Lonchura striata: one gene and its partners. The protein of the gene in region 2 purifies or fractionates together with the protein of the main gene of each other region. This does not show direct contact. Links are inferred from orthologs where the notes say so. Each region holds a gene or a part of one and is shown on either strand. Other genes may lie near its edges.

Evidence for each region. The genes of interacting proteins can lie anywhere in the genome.
Region 1: the proteins of SSRP1 (region 2) and SRPK1 fractionate together in Homo sapiens (co-fractionation; 3 studies listed by BioGRID and IntAct, with this or other methods). This does not show direct contact. The link is inferred for Lonchura striata from reciprocal best matches to the Homo sapiens genes SSRP1 and SRPK1.
Region 3: the proteins of SSRP1 (region 2) and TOP2A fractionate together in Homo sapiens (co-fractionation; 3 studies listed by BioGRID and IntAct, with this or other methods). This does not show direct contact. The link is inferred for Lonchura striata from reciprocal best matches to the Homo sapiens genes SSRP1 and TOP2A.

What each region holds. Positions count from the first base shown.
Region 1 is NC_134632.1:4,661,382-4,668,957, forward strand, and holds the start of SRPK1 (SRSF protein kinase 1), read right to left. Parts: upstream 3,012-7,576; 5' UTR 2,951-3,011; coding exon 2,938-2,950; intron 2,853-2,937; coding exon 2,792-2,852; intron 1-2,791. UniProt on the Homo sapiens protein: Serine/arginine-rich protein-specific kinase which specifically phosphorylates its substrates at serine residues located in regions rich in arginine/serine dipeptides, known as RS domains and is involved in the phosphorylation of SR splicing factors and the regulation of splicing.
Region 2 is NC_134608.1:53,181,421-53,189,380, reverse strand, and holds the start of SSRP1 (FACT complex subunit SSRP1), read left to right. Parts: upstream 1-4,942; 5' UTR 4,943-5,028; intron 5,029-5,495; 5' UTR 5,496-5,598; coding exon 5,599-5,652; intron 5,653-5,860; coding exon 5,861-6,046; intron 6,047-6,222; coding exon 6,223-6,328; intron 6,329-6,796; coding exon 6,797-6,987; intron 6,988-7,054; coding exon 7,055-7,285; intron 7,286-7,373; coding exon 7,374-7,477; intron 7,478-7,585; coding exon 7,586-7,714; intron 7,715-7,873; coding exon 7,874-7,960. Other genes in the region: P2RX3 (P2X purinoceptor 3), read right to left, coding at 364-477, 584-661, 820-885, 961-1,054, 1,146-1,276, 1,854-1,995, 2,193-2,270, 2,350-2,443 and 4 more. UniProt on the Homo sapiens protein: Component of the FACT complex, a general chromatin factor that acts to reorganize nucleosomes. The FACT complex is involved in multiple processes that require DNA as a template such as mRNA elongation, DNA replication and DNA repair.
Region 3 is NC_134627.1:6,903,404-6,910,569, reverse strand, and holds the start of TOP2A (DNA topoisomerase 2-alpha), read right to left. Parts: upstream 3,012-7,166; 5' UTR 2,944-3,011; coding exon 2,911-2,943; intron 2,606-2,910; coding exon 2,462-2,605; intron 2,278-2,461; coding exon 2,187-2,277; intron 1,810-2,186; coding exon 1,746-1,809; intron 1,293-1,745; coding exon 1,147-1,292; intron 541-1,146; coding exon 443-540; intron 160-442; coding exon 1-159. UniProt on the Homo sapiens protein: Key decatenating enzyme that alters DNA topology by binding to two double-stranded DNA molecules, generating a double-stranded break in one of the strands, passing the intact strand through the broken strand, and religating the broken strand.

The sequences.
Region 1 (7,576 bases), on a different chromosome or scaffold from region 2:
CTTATGAGTGTACAATCCATGTTATTTTGTGATTATTGCAACTCGCTCACTGTTGCATTCCTATTTTTGTGAATAAATAACTGGTGTTTTCTGCCAGTAAGGCAAATCCACAATAGTTGCTGCTATAGAGCACTCATCCCAGAGCTACAGGAACACCACTGCCAAGAATTTAGAAGACTGGAGATGATCAAACATTTAGTTTTTAAATACAACTACTCAGAGGCACCAAGACACACTTTTGATTAGCAGATCTGTGGGAGCTCAGTTTGAAGATAAGTACTGGCTTTCATATAAGAAAGGTATTAAAACACAAATAACAGGCAATCAAGTTTCTTTCTTCCCATCCCCACTCCCCCACACAAGCACTTAACAAGCTGTTTGTAGAACTGGCTGATAGTCCAGCTATCACAAACCAAGGGATTTCTATGGAAACCAGTAAATTTCAGTTGTGTCCTGTCATGGTTTGATAATCACTTCTGTATTTGAATGAAAAAAATTACAAGGGCAATGGAAATTACAGATATCTCACCTTCAGAATTCCAAGAACCTCTGCCTGCTCTCTTTCTACAGGAGAGTGTTAGGAGAAATGCACGCTCTACTTCATTGATATAAAATGAAACTTTTAAGACAGGAAGGAGTGAAAGAAATAGGATCATCCTGATTTGGCAGAAAAATAAGAACGTGATTGACGTTCCTATAAAAATATATATTCATTTCAAAAACATATATTCATTTCCTATTAAAAAAGCTTAGACACGGAATCATAATTATTATTTACAAGGTGTTTCTGTAAATCATCAGTTTAGACTAGTCTCGTCTAAACCAAGCAAACAGCAATATTAACTACTGGATGATGAAAAAATAAGTAATTTTCCAATTTCTTTTAATGTTTGGGGGTTTTTTGTTATTTGTTTTTATGTTTTTAATGATATTAGGTTTAAAAGCAGCTGTAGCTCATTTTTAAAATGAAAGATATTTTGAATTGTTTTTACTTCCTTCAGAACATTCTCTGCACTTTTATATAATAATTCAGAACACTAAACTCTACTTTTTAAATTCATTGTTTCATGCTTTCTACTGCAAATGTAAAGAAAAAATGTATTACAGAAAAAAATTGCATGTTTGATCTAAACTATCATGGAACATCAGATATTAAAAGCACATTGCATGTGGTTTCAAGTATAGATTTTATGAAAAGTCATGAAACAACCCAGTTAAGCCTATTTTAGAAGATTTAACTAGAGCAGCTTTTTATTTAAATAGAATAAATGTTGTGGAACTGTACCTAAACTTAGAGACTGACACTGAGTTCATTTAATTACACAGCATAAAGCACATGCAAGTTTCTTTCATTTCTGAGATACAATCTAATAAATTTATGGTACCAGGGAAAAGAGTTGAAGCATAAAGCGTAAGAATATAAACACAGCATTTGAGAAATAACATTACTCTGCACTCAAATCAAGGTTAGTGGCAAAATCAAGAGCTAACTGGCAGTGCATTCAACCTGTCCTGAATATGTGGTTAAAAAAGACTTATAAAAAAACCCTAACATTTATCATTCAGCAACCTCAGAATCTACACAGATATTAGCCTTCCCAGCTGCACTGTGGACTCTGTTGGCAGAATCAGTATTGCTGGTCTGCAGCTAGAGAAAGAAAAAAAAAATAACATGTATAGAATTAGACAATGGATTATTCATACAGAAATTAGAGAAGGAGGAGAGCAGTTCACAAATTGTCCTAATGCTACCTTCAAGGTATACCAGGGACTCATATGGAAAAGGATGGAGCCATAATGCACGTCTCCCAAACACTTTGGTTAAGGCTCCTCACTCTTCAAAAGCCCCATCTCAAAACCACTGACTCTTGGCTGAAGGCAACAAGAAAAAAATATTTTAAACCCCTGTGATGTGTCTGAGGAAGTGGCTGAGAAAGCATTACTCTAGGCCTAAAGAAAAAACCCTCCAACTCCCACTCCCAAAGCCTTAGCCTTACTATCTTTGGTCCTAGGCACCTTCAAGAAAGAAACATCCTGAGTCACGGGAGATTTTACAGAAATAAGCAGCATTTTATGGAGTATACAGAACCAGCTCTAGGACTGACATCACCTTTCTGTAGAAAGGAATCCATGAGCAGCACTGAACATAGCACTTAGTGCAGCCTGCTGAAAGCCATTGTTTAGTATTTACTCGAGTTCTTGTAATTTCTACATTTGCCTCCAAAAGTTCCCCACACATAAAGACTCGTGACATTCCTGCGGTAAGACAGAAGCCACACGAGAGCATCAAAGTTAGAGAACGAAGTAAACAGCACATCACGGCATTCTTTCGGCAAGAAAAAAAAAAAAATCTCAGGGGGAAAGAGAATCAAGAGTGGGGAGGGAGTGGAGAGAAGCTGGTTCCTCAAGCCGGCAGCTGCTGAAGCGCCCCGGGGGCTGCAGAGAGGGGACGCTGCCATCTCCCTCCAGGACACAGCCCGAGCCGAGGGCAGACCAGCACCCGCAGCTGCGTCCCTGAGCACCACCGCGACCCCGGGGCCGGGTTCCGGGGAGAGACAGCGGAGGCAGAGCCTGCCGCTCCCCGCGCAGCCCGCGGAGCCGCGGCCGGAGCCGGCGGCGAAACGGCCGCCCCGTGCCCGCCCAACCCGCCAGAAACCGGCCCGGCGCCGGGGATCCGCGCTCCCCCGCCCCGAGCGGCCCCCGGGCCCGGCAGCCCCGTCCCCGCGGGGGCGGCCCGGGGAACAAAGAGGCGGCGGGAGACAGCGCCCGAAGGAGCCGCGGCCGCACTCACTTCCTCTGGGCCTTGTCCTTCTTGGCTTTGGTCCGCTTCTTCCGGGCCTGCAGCGCCAGCACTGAGGGAGAGAAGGAGAGAGAGGCGTGAAGGGCGGCGGGCCCCGCGGGGGCCCCGCGGGCCGGCGGAGGCCGCGCCGCGCTCACCTTTCCGCTCCATGGCCGCCACCGCCCGGCGGCCCCGGGCGCCTGCGCTGCGCCCGCCGGGCTGGGCACGCGCGGCTCGGCCGCCCCCGGTGCGGAGCCGCCCCCGGCGCGGAGCCGCCCCTGCCCCGCCCGCCCTGCGCGGCTGCGGCGGCGGCTGCGGCGGCGGCTGCGGCGGCGGCGCACGCTCGGGGCGGGGCGGGCGGTGCTGCCGGTAGTGCCGCGGGGCGCGGCGCGGGCTCCGTTTGGCACCCGCCGCCGGGGCCGCTCGGGGCGTGCGCTGGCCGCCCGCGCCCGCCCCCCGGAACACGAACAGCGGCCCTTTTCCCTGGGAGGAAAACTCGCCAGCCCGTTCCTGGTGTCGGTTTGTAGGGTGCGCTGGCACTGTCAGGGCAGCACCAGTTTGATGTAGGGGCAGCTGGGGTCTGGGACACATCCTTCGATTTTCGGATTTTTTTGCAGTCAGCCACCCCCTCTGGGCCATATGCCCCTGGGCAGAAAGACCAGCCCTTTTCCCTGTGAAGGAAAACTCATCAGTCCAGGTTCCTGATGTCAGTTTGTAGGGTTTGCATGGGACTCTCAGAACAGCACATGTCTGAGGTGGTGGCAGGTTGTGTCTGGGACACATCCTTCGCCCTTCAGATTTTTGCAGCCCACTCAGAGCCACAGGCCCCTGAGCACAAACAATGTCACTTTTCCCTGGGAAAGAAAACTCCCCAGCCGAGGTTCCTGATGTCGGTTTGCAGGGTTCCCTTGGGACTGTCAGGGCAGCCCAAGTTCGAGGTGGTGACAGGTTGCATCTGGGACACATCCTGCACCGTTTGGAATTTCAGGAGGTGGCCATGATCATCTGCATGTCTGAGGATCTGTTTCTTCTTGTTCAGTGCAGTGGGAGAGCAGCCTGGGTTTCTGCAGCAAGCCCTGCCAGGAAAGCATCGTGTCATCCCACCAGATGGGAAGAACATTAGAACATTGCTGCATGCAAAACAACTGATCTTGTTGCAACTAGGTCAGGTAAGAACTTCAGGCTGCTAACAAAAATAGGCCTTTAAACTCTGACTTCTGTGGATGTTTAGAGGTATAGGTGGAATATTTGGCTATAAAGCAGGTGCTTTGTCACTTCACAGCCCATGTCCAGGGATTTGTGCTTGGCTGAACACAGAAGCCTTGTGTGTGTATGTGGGAGCAACATTATGGGGAAAAAGATCAGGATTGACTGGACTTCCTCTCAGCAGGATATTTGTTTTGCAGCATGAATACCCATGACTTGCATGCTGACATTCTGATGTCTGATTTGTCCACTGGTGCTAAACTCTGCAGTCATTGCAATAGGAAGGGAAGATTTGGAACTTTGCTGAACAAGAGGAAAAAAAAAAAACCTTTTAAGTTTTCAGTGGAGACCTTTCATGGTGCCAATAGCTAGGAATCCATTTCATCTTAAATCAAAGCTGTCATAGGAGAGCCAATAGAATCTGAAAATTAGGGCTATGCCTTTCATGGGTTTTACATTACTCATTTTGAACAGAGCTGAGAGAAGCTTGGCATGAAGCCACTGTCCAGAACAATGTAGGGAAGCATATGTGGTTTGAGAATTACTCAATACCATTTGGGCCTTCAGTTTTTCCTGTCTTTCAGTCCAAGAAGATCCAGGATTCAGTTTTCTCTGCAGTTAAGAGACTCTACACAGTCTTCTTGAAAATCCAAGTTCATATCTGGATATAACTCTTAGCCAAGGGTGGCCAGAGTGTCAAGGTGGTCAAATGCAGTTCCCATAACAAGGTGACACCACCTGAGCAGCGAGAGGGCCCTGCTGGCATGGGAGCACAGGACAGCCCAAACCTCCAGCCCTCGAGGAACTGGGCTCACAGGGACTGCTGGAGGTGACACCCCTGAGCTGCTGTGGGTCCCTGCTGCATTCCCAGGCAGCCTCACCTCAAAGGGGGCTCCTGTGGAAACAGTCACCTCTGTGAGGGTGCTCCCCACCTTCCTGCATTAAAGGGAGACTGGTGAATATTTAGTGTCACCTTCATTCTTTGAAGCTTTTTCTATGGGGGAAGAGTTTGAAAGGTCAATATCCTTGCATTAGACTATTTTGTGCAATGCCAAGGTGAGGGAGTTAAACAAGTGGTTTCATGAGCAGCAGAAGTCAGGAACCCTGCTTTCCTCCAGATTTGGGGAGGGTTTTCTTCTCCTTCTTGCCTCGTTCAGGTGTAGGACCCCAGCACAGGATGATTACCCAAGACTGGATTCTTTCCCTAGGTGGGACAACTACTGGAATATTTTACTCAGAACAATTGCTTTTCCTGGAATTTCCAGCCACCTGCCCAATTCAAACTTGGCTGAGACAGCTACCAAGCTTAAAAATTATTGCAGAATACTGACAGAAAAGGCATAAGCTCCAGTTCTTCAGGAAGTCAAGCTATCTCTGTTTTTCACTTCCCCCATCATCCCAAAGACAGCTGGTGCAGTAACCTCTGGAAATAAAAAACTTGGAGCTTTTGCCCTCCGCTGGCAGGATTCTCACTCTGTCAGAGAAATAAAAACAACAACAACAAAGTCATTCCCTCCTGCAAAACTCAACAGGATGCTTCTCCAGCTTGCACACAAAGATGTCTTTGCCCAAACAGGAACACAGGACTCAAAGCAACAAACTGGATTATCAATCCATTACATTTGTGAAAAAATGGAGAATTCAAAAGGGGATCTACCCAGCCGCATTTCCTCAACTCCATGACAATATTTAAGTTACTGGCAGGATAATTTAACGTGAAGGCTTAAATGTCAAGCCAAATATTCTACCTTCTGCTGTTCAGCCTGACTTCAGCAAGCTGTTCTGCAGTAGATTCTAACTCACCCAACTTTCTGCCTGTCCAAAGCAGCCACCTGTGTCTCTGCAGTGCTCTTGTGTGGCCTCCTGTGCCCACCAAGGTTTGCTGTGTTTGCTCTCTGCAGGCACAGGTGTTATCCCAGAGCTGGCACACACCATCCATCCCAGGCAGGCACCTCTGTGCCCTTGCATGCCACTCAGATGAATCACAAATGCTCTGTGTGCTGTTCACCTGATAGCTGGAGAAGCACAGAGCACTGGATACATCAGTTGCTTGACCTAATTAACACTGCAGAAAAAAGAGGGGATGGTATTTTGATTCCTCCTGTTCTGACCTAGAAGAAAACCACATAAACACTGCATCTGGGCAGCAAAAATTAACAAACCTATCCCACCTCCCCAAAATGAGACAAATGTTTCCTGAATTAAATTATTTAGTGAGTGGGTTAAATCAGGACTTGACCTACATGATATATTTCCCATGTATGTGTTTGAATCAAAATTTCCAGTAGCTAAACTCTGACTAACCCCACCGCCCAGTGCTCCTTCTTCCCCCTTTTAATTCCTGGCATGTTGGTGATTTTTTTTTTTTTTTTTTTTTTTTTTTTTTTATTCACAACCCAAATATAAGTAAGGCTTTTGACATCCCTGAACTGTGAACAGTGACCGTGGGGACTCACATTAACATTACAGAGCTGTGTCCCCCTCCATAATTTCACTGTCAGGGTGGCTCTGCTGACAAGTGCATACAAAATGGAGAACAGAAAAAACACATGAAACAGGGAAGTGGCAAAGAAACAGGGAAAAATCATGAGGAAGCAAGGCAGACATTTTTCTTAAACAATGAGCTGGAGGAAGAAATAAAATATATTTTCTTATTAGACAATGCAATGATAAAGTTTCCAATAATATTAGCAAAATTCTGCCTTTGAATTCTGGGCAAAACTTATTGTATTACATCAGGTAATTTTGGGTGGACAGACTCTTAACTCTACATCACATGTCACAGTTATACACGATTCAACTCTTGCCATCAAGTGATTTTGTTTCTCTGACTCCAGAATTTCATCCAATCTCCATCTTAGATTTTTAAAGATATTAAATGACAGAACAGAAGGCTTTTGCACAATGTAAATGATCTCACTATTACAGAAGGTAACCTTGTTGACAAGTCTTCATGGTTACTGAGAAAACAACACCAACTCAAACTACAGCTCTGTTTGCCTGCATTTATCACCTGAAAATTCCTTTACAGCAGTGTAAGCTGGACAAGACCCGTAGTTTCAGGCTTCAGTACCACACGTGGCTAAGCTGATGAAAGAGCTGGTTATCCAGAAAGAGAAGCCTGGCTCCCCTGCTTTCCTTTCCCTGTGTGGTCCTGTCCCTTTTGGCAGCAGCAGGCTGATAGATTAGCTCACCACACCTTGGAGAACCTCACCCAGTGGCTCAGTCTTGAGTCTCAAGCCTTGTCCCCGTCTCAAGAGAACAGTTTAAGTTTCAGTACACACTGAAACAAAGCCCAGATAAATGATGAATAAGAGATTCTGTGTTTACTTTCATAGGAGGACTTAGCAGAACAGAAAAAGCCATAACCACTGAGAGTCCAGACTAGATCCAAAAAGAGATTCAGAAAGAAAACTGCAATATTCATAGTCAAACCAAACTAAAACAAAGAAACAAAAGCACAATCACTGAGACCTGTTTGTTCTGATACCACAGCAGGGACTCCAGCATTAGATTTACTGTCTTGTACACATACACATCCCCAGCCACTCCAAACCACAGCAGGGCGAGGTGTGTCTGACATCCTTGAGC
Region 2 (7,960 bases):
TGCCCGTCGGCCCCCCAAAACCACCCCGCGTCCCCCAAGGCTGGACACGGGTGGGTGCTGAGAGCCACGGGTTTATTGGGGGGGTGCAGCCCCTGGCATGGGGTGGCAAGGACAGGGAGGTGCTTGGGGGGGGCACCCTGGGGACAAGGGACAGGGCTGGGGCACCTCGTATGGACACTGGGGACACTGGGATGTACTGGGACAACCTGGGGACAGTCAGATGCTGATGGGGCTCATAGGGGGAGCACTGGAGACTGGGTGGGCAGTAGGAGCCCGACGGGGGTCCCAGCAAGCCCCTCACCAGGCCGTGGGTTGCCCCACAACGAGGTGGACAGGCGAGGGGCTGCCCCATGGCCCCCGGGGCTAGAGGCCGAGGGAGAAGGTGCCCGAGTCGGTGGATTGCTTGTCCCGGGAGCAGGTCCCCAGCGCCCCGGGGGGACAGGCTGAGGGGGTGGCAGGCACGCCGGCCTCTGACACCTGTGGGGCAGGGGACGGGCACTGGGTGAGTCACTGCACTCAGGGGGGCCGATCGAGCCCCCCGGAGGTGTTCCCATCCCCAGGGCACCCTGGCCCCATGTCTGACCTCCTCGAACTTGCGGGCCTTGTAGTGCTCAGCACCCTTGAGGAAGTTGAGCAGGATGATGTCGCACAGCACCGTGCCCTGGGGGCAGCAGCGTTGGGGTGGGGAGGCCCCACACTGTGGAGTACCCCCAGATCCCCACAGAGCCAGGCCACTGTCACCCTGCAGCTGTGCTCTGTCCCCATGCCCCGTGGCCATGGGATTTCACCACTCCGGGGCTGAGAACGTCCACAACTCACCACACCGATGGAGGTGAAAGCAGCCACCGTGTTGATGAGGGTGGGGACGATGCCAAACTTCCCGGCCTGGGGGAGCAGAGCCCTTGTTGGCCGGAGTCCCCGACCCCCTGTGACCCCACGAGTCCCCGACCCCACACGTACGCTGCCATACACCAGGACATCAAAGCGGATCCCAAAGGCCTTGATGAGGGTGCGGCGCTGGGAGCCATCAGGCCAGCGGTAGTATCTGGCATGCCTGCAGTAACATGGGGTCATGGGGACACAGGGACATGGGGACAGGAGCCATGCCAGGCAGTGCACATGCCTGTGCCGTGTCCTGGCCATACCTGAAGTTGTATCCAGGGGCAGGGGTCCGGGCCAGGCTGTCCAGGCGGGTGAAGGAGTAGTGGGGCAGGCAGCGCTCCCAGGCCCGGTCCAGGTCACACACCCACCCGATCTTGATTCCCAGCACCCCCCCCTGCCCCAGCCCCACATCAGCACCACGGACCCTGGCCCCGCGGCACCAAGTCCCCACAGTTTCACAGTTCTGCATCCCATGGCCCTATGCTCCATGTCCTATGAGCCCACATCCCGCATTCTCGTCTCCCCAAACTCCACATCCCCCTGCACCTCATGTCTCAAATCTCCATGTCTGTACACCCCATGTCCCAGTGTCACACATCCCAACCCCCATCCATGTTCCTGTGTCAAAGCCCCACATCATCACTCAGTGTCCCGTTTTCCCGTATCCCTATGTCCTGTTCCCAACATCCCTCATCCCTGCATCCCATGTCCCCATGTTATGCGAGCCCATGTCCCCATCTTCCATGTCCACATCCATCACCCCATATTCCCCCCATCCTATGTCCCCATGTCCCACATCCCATGTGGGATGTGTCCCCAAGTCCCATGTCCTCAAGTCCCACATCCCATGTCTCTGTGTCCCCAGCCCCCATATCCCTATGCCCTTATATCCCAGCTGCTTGTACCCCTATGTCCCCACACACACCCCATTCCCACCCCGTGCCTCCCATGTCCCCTGTGTCCCCGCTCACGGTGGCAGCCAGCGCAGGGAAGTCCTGCCCAGCCAGACGTGCCACGTCCCCCAGGCGCAGGATGGGGCACAGGGGCTGCAGCTGTGGGTGGAAGCGACACCGGCCCAGCTCCACCCCACTGCCAGGGGGTGGCAGGTTGGTCCTGGGGACACAGGGGGACACAGGGGACACGCAGGGATGTGCCATCAGGCAGCAGTCTGGGGTTCATGGACCCACATCCCAATGTCCCCCCACCATCTTGTGCCTGTGTCCTCATGTCCCCTGTCCCCATGTCCCTGTGTTACCCCATCCCTTGTCCTCATGTCCTGCCGTGTTCCCCCTGTGTCTTGTGCCACTCACTTCTCAAAGCCAAAGAGCGGGAAGCGGACGCTGTTCTTGATGAGGAGGGTGAAGTTCTCAGCTTCCAGCATGACGGGGCTAGAGGAGGGGGGTGATGCTGAAGACAGGCAGGGGCCATGTCCCCTGCTCCTCCCCGTGTCCCCCCAGCCCCACTTACACATCAACGGTGTCCACCTCGGGCGGGCACCAGCCCTGGATCTCGCAGGTGCGCAGGGTCGTGTTGTAGGGGACGCAGCGCCCTGTCAGCACCCCTGGGACCCCCGGACTGCTGTCAGCACCTCTGCCAGCACCCCCGAGATCCCAGACCCCCATCAGCACCCCTGGGACCCCCAGACTGCTGTCAGCACCCCTGGGACCCCCGGACCCCCATTGGCACTCCTGGGACCCTGAACCCCCGGCTTCCCGGGCCCCCCTCAGCCCCTTGAGCCCACCGAGGGTCCCTCACTCCTGGTGGTGGCTCCCCCCGGTCCCTCGGCCCCCTCAGCCCCCGTTCCCACCGGGGTCCCTCACCGTTGCTCGTGGCCGGGCTCAGCTCCCGGCAGTCCCGGTCCGCCGAGCAGTGGAACGCGGCTTCGCTCTGCGGGGCGGGGGTCAGCGGACAGGGGGCTCATCGAGGGGTCCCCCCGAGCGCCCCCTGCCCCTCCGCACCTCCGGGCACACGCCCTGCGCCTGGTCCTCGGTCCGGATCTGCTTGGTGACCACCACGAACACCGAGGTGCCCTGCGGGACGTCGCTGTCACACGACCCGCCCGGGGGTGGGGAACTGAGGCGGGGGTGGCCCCGCGCCCCTCAGCGACCCCTCCGGTCCCCGTCCTCACCTGGGGGGGTGTGACATAGTCGGCTGTGTCCATCACCTGCCCCGCGTAGCGACCCACGCCCTTCACCTTGGTGACCACGGAGGACTCGATGGCGGTGTCCCGCACCTGGTACGCTTTCTCATGGAGGAACACCCAGCTGGGACAGCACCGCGGGTGACGCTGGGGACAGCCATCCCCGGACACCACCGGCACCCCCCGGGCCCCGCCGGCCTCCCCCGGCACCCCCCGGACCTGCCCGTGACCCCCGGCCCCCGGAGCTGTCAGCGCCAGCGGCTGCCGATCCCCGACAGATTCTTGTCATCCCCTCGCCAGTGGCTGCTGTCACTCCTCGGGAGCATCCAGGGACAGGGACCCCAACGCGGGTCATCCCCTTCTGTCATCCCCTGGGGCCGAGCGGCTTCTCTGCCGCTCGGTGTCACCCACACTGTCCCTTTCCCGTCATCCACCCGAGATGCTGTCCCCCTTGTGTCACCCGTAACGACACCTTGCTGTCCCCATCATGTCACCTGCGCTGCCACCCTCCCGTCACCCGCACCGGCACGCTCTCTGGCTGTCCCCCTTCTGTCACCCGCACCGATATCCTCTGTCCCGCCTTGTCAGCCGGTACACTCCCCTGGCTGTCCCCATCGTGTCACCCGCTCCGGCACACCTGAATTCCCGGCACTGACACTTTGTCACCCGCTCTCCCGTCCGTCCCCTGCTCCATCACCCCCTGGCCACCCCGTCACCCCGCGCCGCCGGCCGGTGTCCCCTCGCTGTGACCCCGCTGCCACACGCCGCCATCCCCCATCACCCTTGTCACCCCCGGTGTCACCTGCAGCAGCAAGTGGCAGTCACGGCGCTGCCGCGGTGCCGGGAAGGGGGCTCGGGGTTGTGTCCCGGGGGACGTGCCGGGGCGGGGTGTCCCAGGGGTGCCCGCCGGTTGTCCCGGCGGCTGCCAGGGGGGCTCACCCGATGAAGTAGGCGAGGATGAGGAGCTGGACGCCGCGGTTGACGACGCCCACCACCCAGCTCTTCACCACCACCGACTTGGTGGTCTCGTAGGAGAAGAAGTTGCTCACCCAGCGGGTGCTGGACCGCGGGAGGGACATGGGCAGCGCGGGGGGCGGCCGGAGACGGGGTTACGGGCAGGGCAAGGCAGGGCTGCGGGCAGGGCAAGGCAGGCAGGGCTGCGGGAACCCAGTGGGATGCGGGAAGGGCAGGGCAGGGGTGCGGGCAGTGAGGGGGATGCGGGCAGGGCAGGGCGCGCTTGGGTGCAGGCAGGGGTACCGGCAGGGGCACGGGCAGGGTGCGGGTATCGGCAGGGTGTAGGCAGCACCCGCAGGGGTGCGGGTAGCGAGGGCGGTGCGGGCGGGCGGAGGCGGGGGTAGGGCGGGGGCCGGGGGCGGGGGCACGGCCCGGGGGGACGGGAGGGGTCGCTCCCCCGTTCCTGGAGGGATGGAGGGGCGCAGGCGGGGACATTCCCCGGGGTGCCTGTGATGGGGAGCGCCAAAGGGGGGACACATTCCGGCAGCGGGGAGCCCCACATTGGGGTGCACGTGGGTGGTGCGCCCCAAACTGGGAACGCCTGGTTTGGGGGGGACACCCCTGCAGAGGGGAGTGCGAGGGGGCGGCCCGTGCGCGGGTTCCGGGGGTGCCCCGCTCTGGGCCGCCCCATTGTCCGGTTCCGACACTTTGGGGCGCCCCGGCTTTGGGGCGGGGGGGTTGTCCCCACATGAGGTGACGTCACGGGGCTCGCCCCGTGCTGGCCAATGGGGTCTCTCCCCACGCCTGGTTCTGGGCGGGGCAAAGCGGCGAGGGGCGGGGTCTCGGACGCGGTGACCACGCCCCCTAGGTGGGCGGGGCCGCCCGCGGCGCGGCGGGGAGCGCCGCACGGGTCCGCCCCGCCGCCAGGGGGCGCCAGCGCGGCCCGGCGCCATGGCGGAAACCCGCGCGACTTCCGGCGTTGGCGGCCCCGCGCGGTTCGCGCTGCGCAGGCGGGAAAAGCGGCGGCGGCGGCGGCGGCGCGGGGGGGCCGGGTGGGTGTACCGGGGCTCGGGGCCGGCCGGATCCCGCGGGGGGCCGGGTGGGTGTACCGGGGCTCGGGGCCGGCTGGGGCACCCGGAGTCATGGCAGGCCGGCTGGGATGGGGGAGCGGCCTGGGGTGGAAGTGGGCTGGGGGTCGCTGGGGAGGCCCGGGAACGCCTGGGAGCCCCGGCTCGGCAGGAGTTTGTGGGTGCGGGGGTGGTTTGGGGTGGCCTCATCAGGGAGGGGAAGGGCAGGGGTGATGACACAGCGGTGGCCGAGGGCTGCAGGAAGGGGCGGCTTTGGGACCACGGCACAGCCGGGGAAGGGGCGAGTTGTGCCGGGGGTCGCCCCCGTCAGTGAGCCAGGTGCCACCACGAGAGGCAGCCTGCGGGGCTGAGGCGGTGAGGTTTGGTTTTGGGGGCGCTGGGGAGGGCCGGGAGCCTGTCGCCAGCCCGGCTCACCCCCTGTCCTCCCGCAGCTGCCGTGACTGACTCCTCTGCCGTTGCCCCGGGCATGCCGGGCTCGGGGGGCTGCTGAACCCCCCGACTCATCCCCGTCCCCTCCCATAGCCCGCAGCCGCCATGGCTGATACGCTGGAGTTCAACGAGATCTACCAGGAGGTGAAGGGCTCCATGGTAAGCGAGAGAACATGGGGATGGCCCTAGGGGCACTTCCAGCGTTGGGTGTGGATGGGGGAAGTGAATGCTCTGTGATGAGGAGGGTGTGGGAGATGAAATTGTGGCTGGTTGGTGGTGTGGGTGCCTGGAGGGGCGCACCCAACAGGGCCATGGTTCCTCTATGCTTCCATGGGACTGAGTCCCCTCATGCCCAGCTCTCCCACAGAATGATGGGCGGCTGCGGCTGAGCCGGCAGGGCGTCATCTTCAAGAACAGCAAGACAGGGAAGGTGGACAACATCCAGGCCTCAGAGCTGGCTGAGGGTGTGTGGCGGCGCGTGGCACTGGGCCACGGCCTCAAGCTGCTCACCAAGAACGGCCACGTCTACAAGTATGACGGGTTCCGGGAGTCGGTGAGTCCCTGTTCCCTGCTCCTGCTGCCCTGGCCCTGTTCCAGATCCAGTTGTGCTCCCTGCCAGCCCCAGAACAGCCCTGCCCCCTGCATCCCCATGGCCAGGGGCTGTGTGTCACCTGGGGCACTGGGCACTGCTGGTTCCTGACGGTGTTGCCTCCCTCTTGCCCAACCCAGGAATTTGACAAGCTGTCAGATTTCTTCAAGGCCCACTATTGCCTGGAGCTCGCAGAGAAGGATCTGTGTGTGAAGGGCTGGAACTGGGGCACAGTGAGGTTTGGAGGTGAGTTCCAGTGGCACCCCAAAGGCGTGGGGTGGGATGTTCCCACCAGTGTGTGGCTGTTCTGCTGCCACATCCATTCCCTTAGGAGCAGCTGCTTTCTAGGGATGTCCTCAGGGAAAGTGAGGACATTTGCCATCTCAGGAGAGCCCTGAATACCAGGGGGCCATGCTTGGTGTGGAATCTGCACATGTGTGCCGTTCACCAGGGAGCCAGGGGAGCTGGCGGATGTGCCTCCAGCTAAGGGACCGGGACAGATGGGGTCAGACAGTTCCTTTTTTTGTGTTTCTGATCGGTGCCAATTTCCAGGGATGCTGCTGGAAGGGAGAAAGCCTGGAGCTTTTGGAGGGTGGGAATGCAGTGATGAGAACAGAGGCACTGCTGGATTTTGGGAGAGGAGCGAGGCCGTGGCTGGAGATGGGATTTGTGGGGCACAGCTCTGGGCTGGCTGTGATGTCCCTGTCCCCACAGGGCAGCTGCTGTCCTTCGACATCGGGGAGCAGCCGGTGTTCGAGATCCCGCTCAGCAACGTGTCCCAGTGCACCACAGGCAAGAACGAGGTGACGCTGGAGTTCCACCAGAACGATGACGCCGAGGTCTCACTCATGGAGGTCCGGTTCTACGTGCCCCCCACCCAGGAGGATGGTGTGGACCCCGTGGAGGTACGTGGGGCCGGCAGGAGGGTGGGGGTTGGCAGCGAGGGACCCTTTGTGACCGCTTCCCTGGCAGGCCTTCGCCCAGAACGTGCTGTCCAAGGCGGACGTGATCCAGGCCACCGGAGACGCCATCTGCATCTTCCGGGAGCTGCAGTGTCTGACGCCGCGCGGGCGCTACGACATCCGCATCTACCCCACCTTCCTGCACCTGCACGGCAAGACCTTCGACTACAAGATCCCCTACACCACCGTGCTGCGCCTCTTCCTGCTCCCGCACAAGGACCAGCGCCAGATGTTCTTCGTGGTGAGTGGGAATGGCTCAGCCCTCCCCCAGAAGGGCATTGGGGGTGGTTTGGGGGGTTTCGTGTCTTCACCTCCTCTTCTCTTTCCAGATCAGCCTGGACCCCCCGATAAAGCAAGGCCAGACCCGCTACCACTTCCTGATCCTGCTCTTCTCCAAGGATGAGGACATCTCCCTGACCCTCAACATGAATGAGTGAGCTGCCTGATGCCACACTGCTTCCCAGACCCCTTGCTGGATCCTGAGGGAGCTACTTACACCCCAGACCCTGTTCTCACCTCTGCCCTCCTTCCCGCCTCACAGGGAGGAGGTGGAGAAGCGCTTTGAGGGGCGGCTCACCAAGAACATGTCCGGGTCCCTCTACGAGATGGTCAGCCGGGTGATGAAGGCACTGGTGAACCGCAAGATCACCGTGCCCGGAAACTTCCAGGGGTGAGCAGCTGCAGGGCTAGTCCCTCTCTTTCCACCTCGTCCTCATGGCCTGAGGGAAGGGGCTGTCTGTGTGATTTGTGCTGGGGAGCAGGGCCAGTCTGCCAGGGCTGGGCACGGGGAGGATGTTTGTCCCCATGGATAGAAGCGTTTGTCCTGCAGACACTCCGGAGCCCAGTGCATCACCTGCTCCTACAAGGCCAGCTCAGGGCTGTTGTACCCGCTGGAGAGGGGCTTCATCTACGTGCA
Region 3 (7,166 bases), on a different chromosome or scaffold from region 2:
ATCATAGGCTCTTCGAGACATCAGTGCTACAATGTCCTTATCCAGAACAGTCATTTTGAATTTGGACAGATCAGGTTGGAAAGTGACACAGGTGTAATCATCTCCATCAAAGTATTTCAGCTTCATTTCTCCAGCCTTTCCCATATTGTCTGTCCACGTCTGAGGAAAGGAACTTTGGTGACTTTCAAGTCAAACACACACATAACTACCTTAGTCTTTAAAAGCAGTAAGATGGTTTATGTGGTTTAGATATCTTTGAATTAAACAAAAACTCTGGTTAAAAACCAGATTCTGATGCTGTCTGCTAATTTCTTTATTCCTTTGAATTACATTTTGTGGGTCAAATTTACTCTAATCACACTGAACTAGTTTTGAAACAAAACCTTAGGATCTCATTTGAAAACCTCAGTTATAAACTCCCTGGAAAGAAAAGTGCTCCTACCTGCTTGAACAACTTTTTGTATTCACGACATCCAGTTTCCACAGTAAATTTTTTGCTGAATATGTTGCACAGTTTGGCTCCATAACCATTTCTCCCCCCTGGAATTAGAAGGAACACAGACTTGTGTTATTCTCTTTGTCCAAAACCATCTAAGAGAATCCAAGACTAACTGGAGTTTGTCAATGTCCACCCAATTCTAAGACAACTGTCAAGAAGCAACAATATTCTACAAGCTTAGTATGCAATTACAAACTTTGATTTAATTAGGGTTTAAGAGAATATTCAAAGACCATTTTCCCTGTTCCCATGTTTGCACTGTTGTTATGTTAAACAGAGCACATAGACTTCTCTGATAGATTCAGAACATCATTTTCATAGAATCATAGAATAATTTGGTTTGGAAGGAACCTTAAAGCCCATCCAGTCCCACTATTTGCTGTAGGCAGGGCACATTCCACTAGCCCACGTTGCTTCAAGCCCTGTCCAACATGGCCTTGGACACTTCCAGGAGTGGGGCAGCCACAGCTTCTCTGTGCCAGAACCACACCACCGTCACAGAGAGGAATGTCTTCTGTATATCTCATCTAAATTTCCCCTTGTTCAGTTTTCAGACTGCATTAAGGACTCCCTTCCTGCCCTTTCTAGTTCAGGTCACACACTTAGAGCTGCTCAGAGGTATTAGTGCATACCAGAGCCTTCCTCACCTGTGACTTTCTTCTCATTGTCATCATAGTTGCTGGATGTCAGCAGCTGTCCAAAGATCATAGCAGGCACATAGACCTTCTCCACTTTGTGTTCAACAACTGGGATACCTTTCCCATTGTTCCACACACTGATTGTGTTATTCTCTCTGGGGAGGGAAAGAAAAGTCTGTTTTTAAGGCTGCAAATGGCTGAGCTGTGAAAGAAGTCACCAAAAGGCTCTGAGGAAAAGGCACCATTTCACCAGGAACAAATGTGTGCTCAGCAAGTGCAGCAGCTGCCAGCAGAGGGGGGACAGGCAACACAGAAATGCCCAGATCTGCACATGCCGGCTCTGAAATGGACCCACACACAAAACCCCCCTGTCTGTGCTCAATCAGGGTGAAAAGAGAGAGGAAGAGGTGGAAAACCACAGCAACGAAAGAGCAGCCATTTCCCCAGTCAGGCCTCTGTAAGAGACCAGGGGAATAAGCACAGAGAAAGGCTTTCCACAACTGGTGAATTAAATTTGGGCTATCTCAGATCAGCCCCACAGCCCTGCAGTGCCACCTCAGCTTTGCAGAACAGCTGAAGGCAACCAACAACAATGAAACCAAACTTACACATCAATTGTGACTTTAATGCATGACATGTTTTTATCCCTCTGCTTGTTGTCTGCAGCATTCACTAGGAAGGAAAGAGAATATTTTTTTTTATTACATTCTCAATCAAGGGAAAATGATGAATTATGAAGTGTTCCAGTAGAATGAACATAAAAAGTCACTACAGTGTTGCTAATAATCATCTCAGCATGAAAATATTTTGCAAATTACAAAGAGGAGTGCAAGTTATCATGGAATTATGAAGGTTGGAAATGACCTCTGAATTCCTTCAGTGCAACCATTGACATAAAAAGGAGAATTTTGGGCAGGTTTGTAATTAGATTTTTGAAATTTTTCTTTGTTTCAAATGAATGGCTTGCTATTAAGCAGTGCTAATAAGTTCTTACTAATTTATATCCGTTAATAACCCGTCATTCACTGACTCAATGGATGTCAGCTTACCCAGAATCTCATCAAAGATTTTGTACAAGCCAGGCACAAAGGTCACATCTCTGCAGTTGAGGCCAACGCCTTCATCAAAAACCCACATTTGCTGGGAAAAAAAGAAGGAATCTGTAAGTGCCCAGATACAACCCCTCTTCCGTGCGCATCAGTTTGTAAAGCAGTTGTTTTGTGATTGATAAGCAGATGTTTTGTGCTTTGTAAACAGCTGCTAAGAGCTCCCCGCCTGCCCCGAGGTGCTCGGGGGGCTCAGCCCCGCTGCCCCCTGCTCCCACCTGGGTGACGAGCTCCACGGAGCCGATGTAGGTGTCTGGCCGGAGCAGGATGTGCTCCAGCTGCGTCTTCTTCTGGTAGATGTGCTCCACCGTGAGCTTCTTGGGGCCATCGGCCTTGCCCACGGGGATGTTCTCGTTCGCGGGCTGTGGGGGAGAGGCAGCGGCGGTGAGGGGGCGAACAGGGACAACGCATGGGGCCAGGCCGAGGCGGGGAAGAGCATCGGAATCGCGCAGGAGCGGGAGGGCTGGGAAAAGAGCCGAGAGAGGGGCCTGCGGATACCCTGAAGGAGACCCAAGGAGGGGGCTGAGAAGGACCCGGGGAAACGCTGAGGGGGGGACAGGGCGAACTTGCGGGTGCCCGGCGGGGCTGAGGGGGGCTCGAGGGGACGGTATGGAGGCGGATCACAAAGCTCCGCAGGGTCGGGGGCAGCGGTGGTGGCAGGACGCACCCGGAGAGGTGACGAGGGCTGAGAGAGCTCCATGGCGGCGGCGGCGGCGGCCAGAGCGGCTGAGGCGGTGATGGCGGCGCCAACGACCCTTCAAACCTCCGCTCGTCCCGCCGAAACGCGCGGCCAATCCCCGCTCGCGGCCCCCGGCGCTCTGCCAATCGCAGTGCGGGGACGGGCACACGGCTGGAACTCTGCCCGCCCTCTGACCTATCAGAGGCCGCACCGCGCGTTCAAACCGGCCAGTCGGGAGGGAGAGCGATGAGATGGACAGCAGGATGGACCAATAGAGAAGCGGCAGGGAGGGTGCCGGAGGTTCCCGTTTGCCGTTGGTGGTGGGACATACTGGGATACACTGGGATACACTGGGACACACTGGGAACCCCCGGACACACACTGGAATACACTGGACAGACCCTGTGGACCCACTGGGGTACTGCTACACACTGGGCAAGCCCCAGGGATTCACTGGGACCTATTGAACTGGGACACTGGACAGACCCATTGGACATGGGATACTGGGCAGACCCTGGACATGCACTGGGATACATTTGGAATCACTGGGTTTCAGTGGACAAAATGTCCCAACCCCTTGGACACCCACTGGGATACACTGGGAGGGCCTCAGGAACCCACAGGAATACACTTAGCAAGATTTGGCTGGGATATACTGGACCACACTGTGTTCTGAGACCAAAACAGACCTTGCTGACATGCAGACCTGTGCCAGGGTGTCCCCTCCCAGTTACTGCCAATCCCCAGGGGACTAGAGCCTGCTCCCAGCCCTTCCAGTCCCTGTTCCCATTCCCGGGTGTGTCCCCTCAGTCCCTTGCTGCCATGTGCCCCCAGAACAAAGCATGGTGTCATAAAAACCAACATTTTTGTATCTTTATTTCTGGGTGGTGACCGTGTTGACTCCAGTGGGTTTAGGAGGCTGGAGGCACAGCCTAACATTGCCCCATGGCACGGGGATCTGTGGGATGGCGCAGCTGGAGCTGGGCATGGCACAGTCTGGTTGCACACCCGGTGTCCCCTCAGTGCTCCGACACAGCTCCGACACCTCCCATGGTGCTCCCGGGGACATTCCCCAGCCACACAGGCCTGGAAGAATGCCTGGAGCTCCTGCTTGCGTGTCACCATTGTCACCACATGTGCCGGTAAGGAAAAGCCACCTCGATGCAGAGCACGGCCAGCGGTATGGAGCAGTTGTGGCGGTGGCCGGCCAGCAGCCGGCCCTCGCCCAGGGCAGTGGCCATGCCCTCGGCTGAGCCAGAGCTGCGCCAGCCCTGGCAATCCCACCGGTGGGCATGGCCACCCCGTGGCGTGGAGCCGTGCCAGGCTAGCCGGTGGGGCCTGTGGGTGGGGACAGGGTGAGAGGGGCTGGGGGCACCCTGGGGTGCCCCAGCTCTTTGCTCCTGCACTTCTGCAGGGTGGGAGCCAGCACAGACCCCCCGTTCCAGCTCCCACACAGGGCCATCCATCCAGGACCTGTCCACACTCACCAGAGGGGATCTGCCAGGATGTTGCGCCCGTTGAAGGAGTAGATGGGACTCTGCAGGACAGCACCAGACTGACCCCCAAAAAGGGAGCTCCAGGACTTGGCCAGCAGCTGCCCCTGTGGGCACGAGCCACGGTGCTGAGCCAGGGGCCAGGAGAATGCCCCTTGTCCCCAGCATTGTGTGGGCAATGACATCCTCTCTGCTCTGCCAGCACCCCAAATCCCTGAGCACGGCAGCAGGACTGGGTGGGCGTCCCCCACCCACAGCAGCTCACGGGGGCTGTGAGGCTGTGCCACCCCTGGGGACGGGGTACCTGCCTTCAGGTTGACAATGGGGAGGCTCCTGTCTGTCCGCTTGACGATGGACACCAGGTGCTGGCTGGGGGCCGACAGGAAGGCCCGGAAGGTGCCGTGGAGCCCGGCCTCCTGTGACTGCCGGTAGCACTGCAGGTCAGCGCCCCGGATCCCGCTCATGTCACCCCACAGCGGCACGTTGAGGGCAGCCAGGCGGAGCTGGGGGCGGCAGGGAGGAATGGAGGTCTCTGCTCCTCTCTTCTCAGAGGGTGTGAGCCTCTGGCAGTGCTGGCCAGAATTGGGGGTCCCCTGGGTACCTCTCCCCCCTCTCCCATGACTGGCTGTTCATCCCCACCCTGGGGCCAGGCATTCCTTACAGATGGGATCCGTGGGGCTGTGGTGGTTGGCAGAATCTGGGGCAATCCGTGTTCCTCCTCCTTCTGGATCTGCAAAAACACAGCTCAGATCAGTCTGGGGACACGCATCCATGTGCCATGACTTGGGGGCACCCTCCCCAGACCAACACAACCCCATGTTCTGCTCATGCTGAGCTGGCACTGCCCTGCTGACATCCAGCCCATGCTATGCACATCCCTCCCAGCATGGCCAGACCCTCAGCAGGGCTCACCAGTGAGTCTGTTGGAGACTGCATGAGTGACAGCGTGTTGGGACCTCTTGGCTGCACCCTCTTCACCTCCTGGATGGAGAGGTGGAAGAAGAAGGAGAAAACAGTCCTGTGAGGTCTGTCCACTTCATCATGCAGACAAGGGCTCTGTCACCTTACAGGGACATGAGTGGACCCAGCAGCTCCTGCACCCCTCACCTGGTACTGCGGGGTGGAGGCAGAAGGGTCATCACCAGCCAAGAACGACTTCGGATCCTCCAGCTGCTCAATGACACAAGCAGAGGGACAGGTTAGGGGAAATCCTCTCCTTCCTGAGGATCTGCTGCCCTAGTGCCAAATCCAGCCCTGGATCCTGCCCCCCTAGCCCTGCCAGGGACCCCACACGGTACCAGGAGGCGGCTCCAGCCAGCGGGGGTCCGGAGGAAGGCGTTGCTCCCTTCCCGCACATAGACCAGGCTCCCCTCGGGCACAGCACTGCTCGCCTTCACCATCAGCTCCTTGGACTTGAAAACCCACGTCTGGCGCTGGGGGAAGGCAGAGGGTGAGGCTCCTGCTGTGGGGCACGGGGCAGCTGGGGGGGGTTTGCCTGGGGCCGCAGCCTGGACGCACCCGGAGATCAGCGCGGGAGTCCGATGGCTCTGTCTGAGGGGCACCAGCATCTGCAGAGCCCAGAGATGGTGGGGGGTCACAAGGTGTCCCAGCATAGGGCCTGGATGCTCCCATGGGAACTGGCCCCACAGGGATGCGGTGGGAGTGGGTGGGAGAGCCAGCAGTGGTGCCAGGGACCCGTGCTGCACGGTCCCGGCACCCAAGGAAGGGAGGCAAGACTTTAGGAAAAGTGTCTCCAGGGAGGCTGCAGCCCCCAAAACACCTGGGAAACCTCCTCACCTGATGGCCAGCTGCGATCTGCAGGTGCCTGTGAAGGCAAACAGAGTCTGTGTCTGCTGCTGGGCACAGGGAGAGGGACACCCCTCCTGATGCACAGGGAGGAGATGGGGACACTCTTGGGGCAGCGAGGCCGTGGCTTACCGGCTGCTTGCAGGGCTGCTGGGCATGCACGGGGTGCATCCTCTGCAACCAAAGACAGGCAGGTTTGGGGGGGCCCTGGTGCTGTGCACACTCACACGTGTGTGTGCTCTGGCACAGGCGTGTGCACACCAGTGCTGGGCCTTACGTTGAGGTAGAGGAGACCTGGTGGGCCAGGGGGGCCGGGGGGCCCAGGGGGACCGGGGTTCCCAGGGGGACCTCGAAGACCCTGTGGTAGAGCAGTGTGGAGATTGAACTTGGCTGTTTTGGTGCTGCCGTTCAGGGGGGCAGCTCTGACACCCAATTGATGTCCCCCACGCTTCCCACTCCTGTCCCCTCCCAGGGCTCAATGTCCCTGGCTGGGGCAGCGCAGACCCCGGCCAGGCAGGGACTCTCACATGAGGGATGATCGCTCCATAAATCTCTGGTTCATCTTTCCCATCCTGCAAAGGAAGACTGAGATTGATCTCCATCCTCCCTCTCTCTCCATTTTCCATTCTCCCCCTCTCCTTCCTCCAACCCCGTCCCGTGGGGTTGCCAGTGGGGTGAACCACGTCCCCAGGGCTGGGCTGGGGTCCCTGGGCACCCCTTCCCCTGGCCACTCACCGTCTGGTACCTGTTGATGGACCCCCATGAGCCGGTGCTGGGGAAGGGGAGGTGCCCTGGTTTGCACCCGTGCTCCCCATAGCAGCACCCCTGGGTGAGCCGCAGAGAGAGGCAGGATTAGAGTCCGTGCTGAGTCTGGGGGGGGTCTGGGGTGTGCTGGGGATGTTTATGGGTGGCACAGGTGTGCACGTGTGTGCCCCGTGTGTGCCA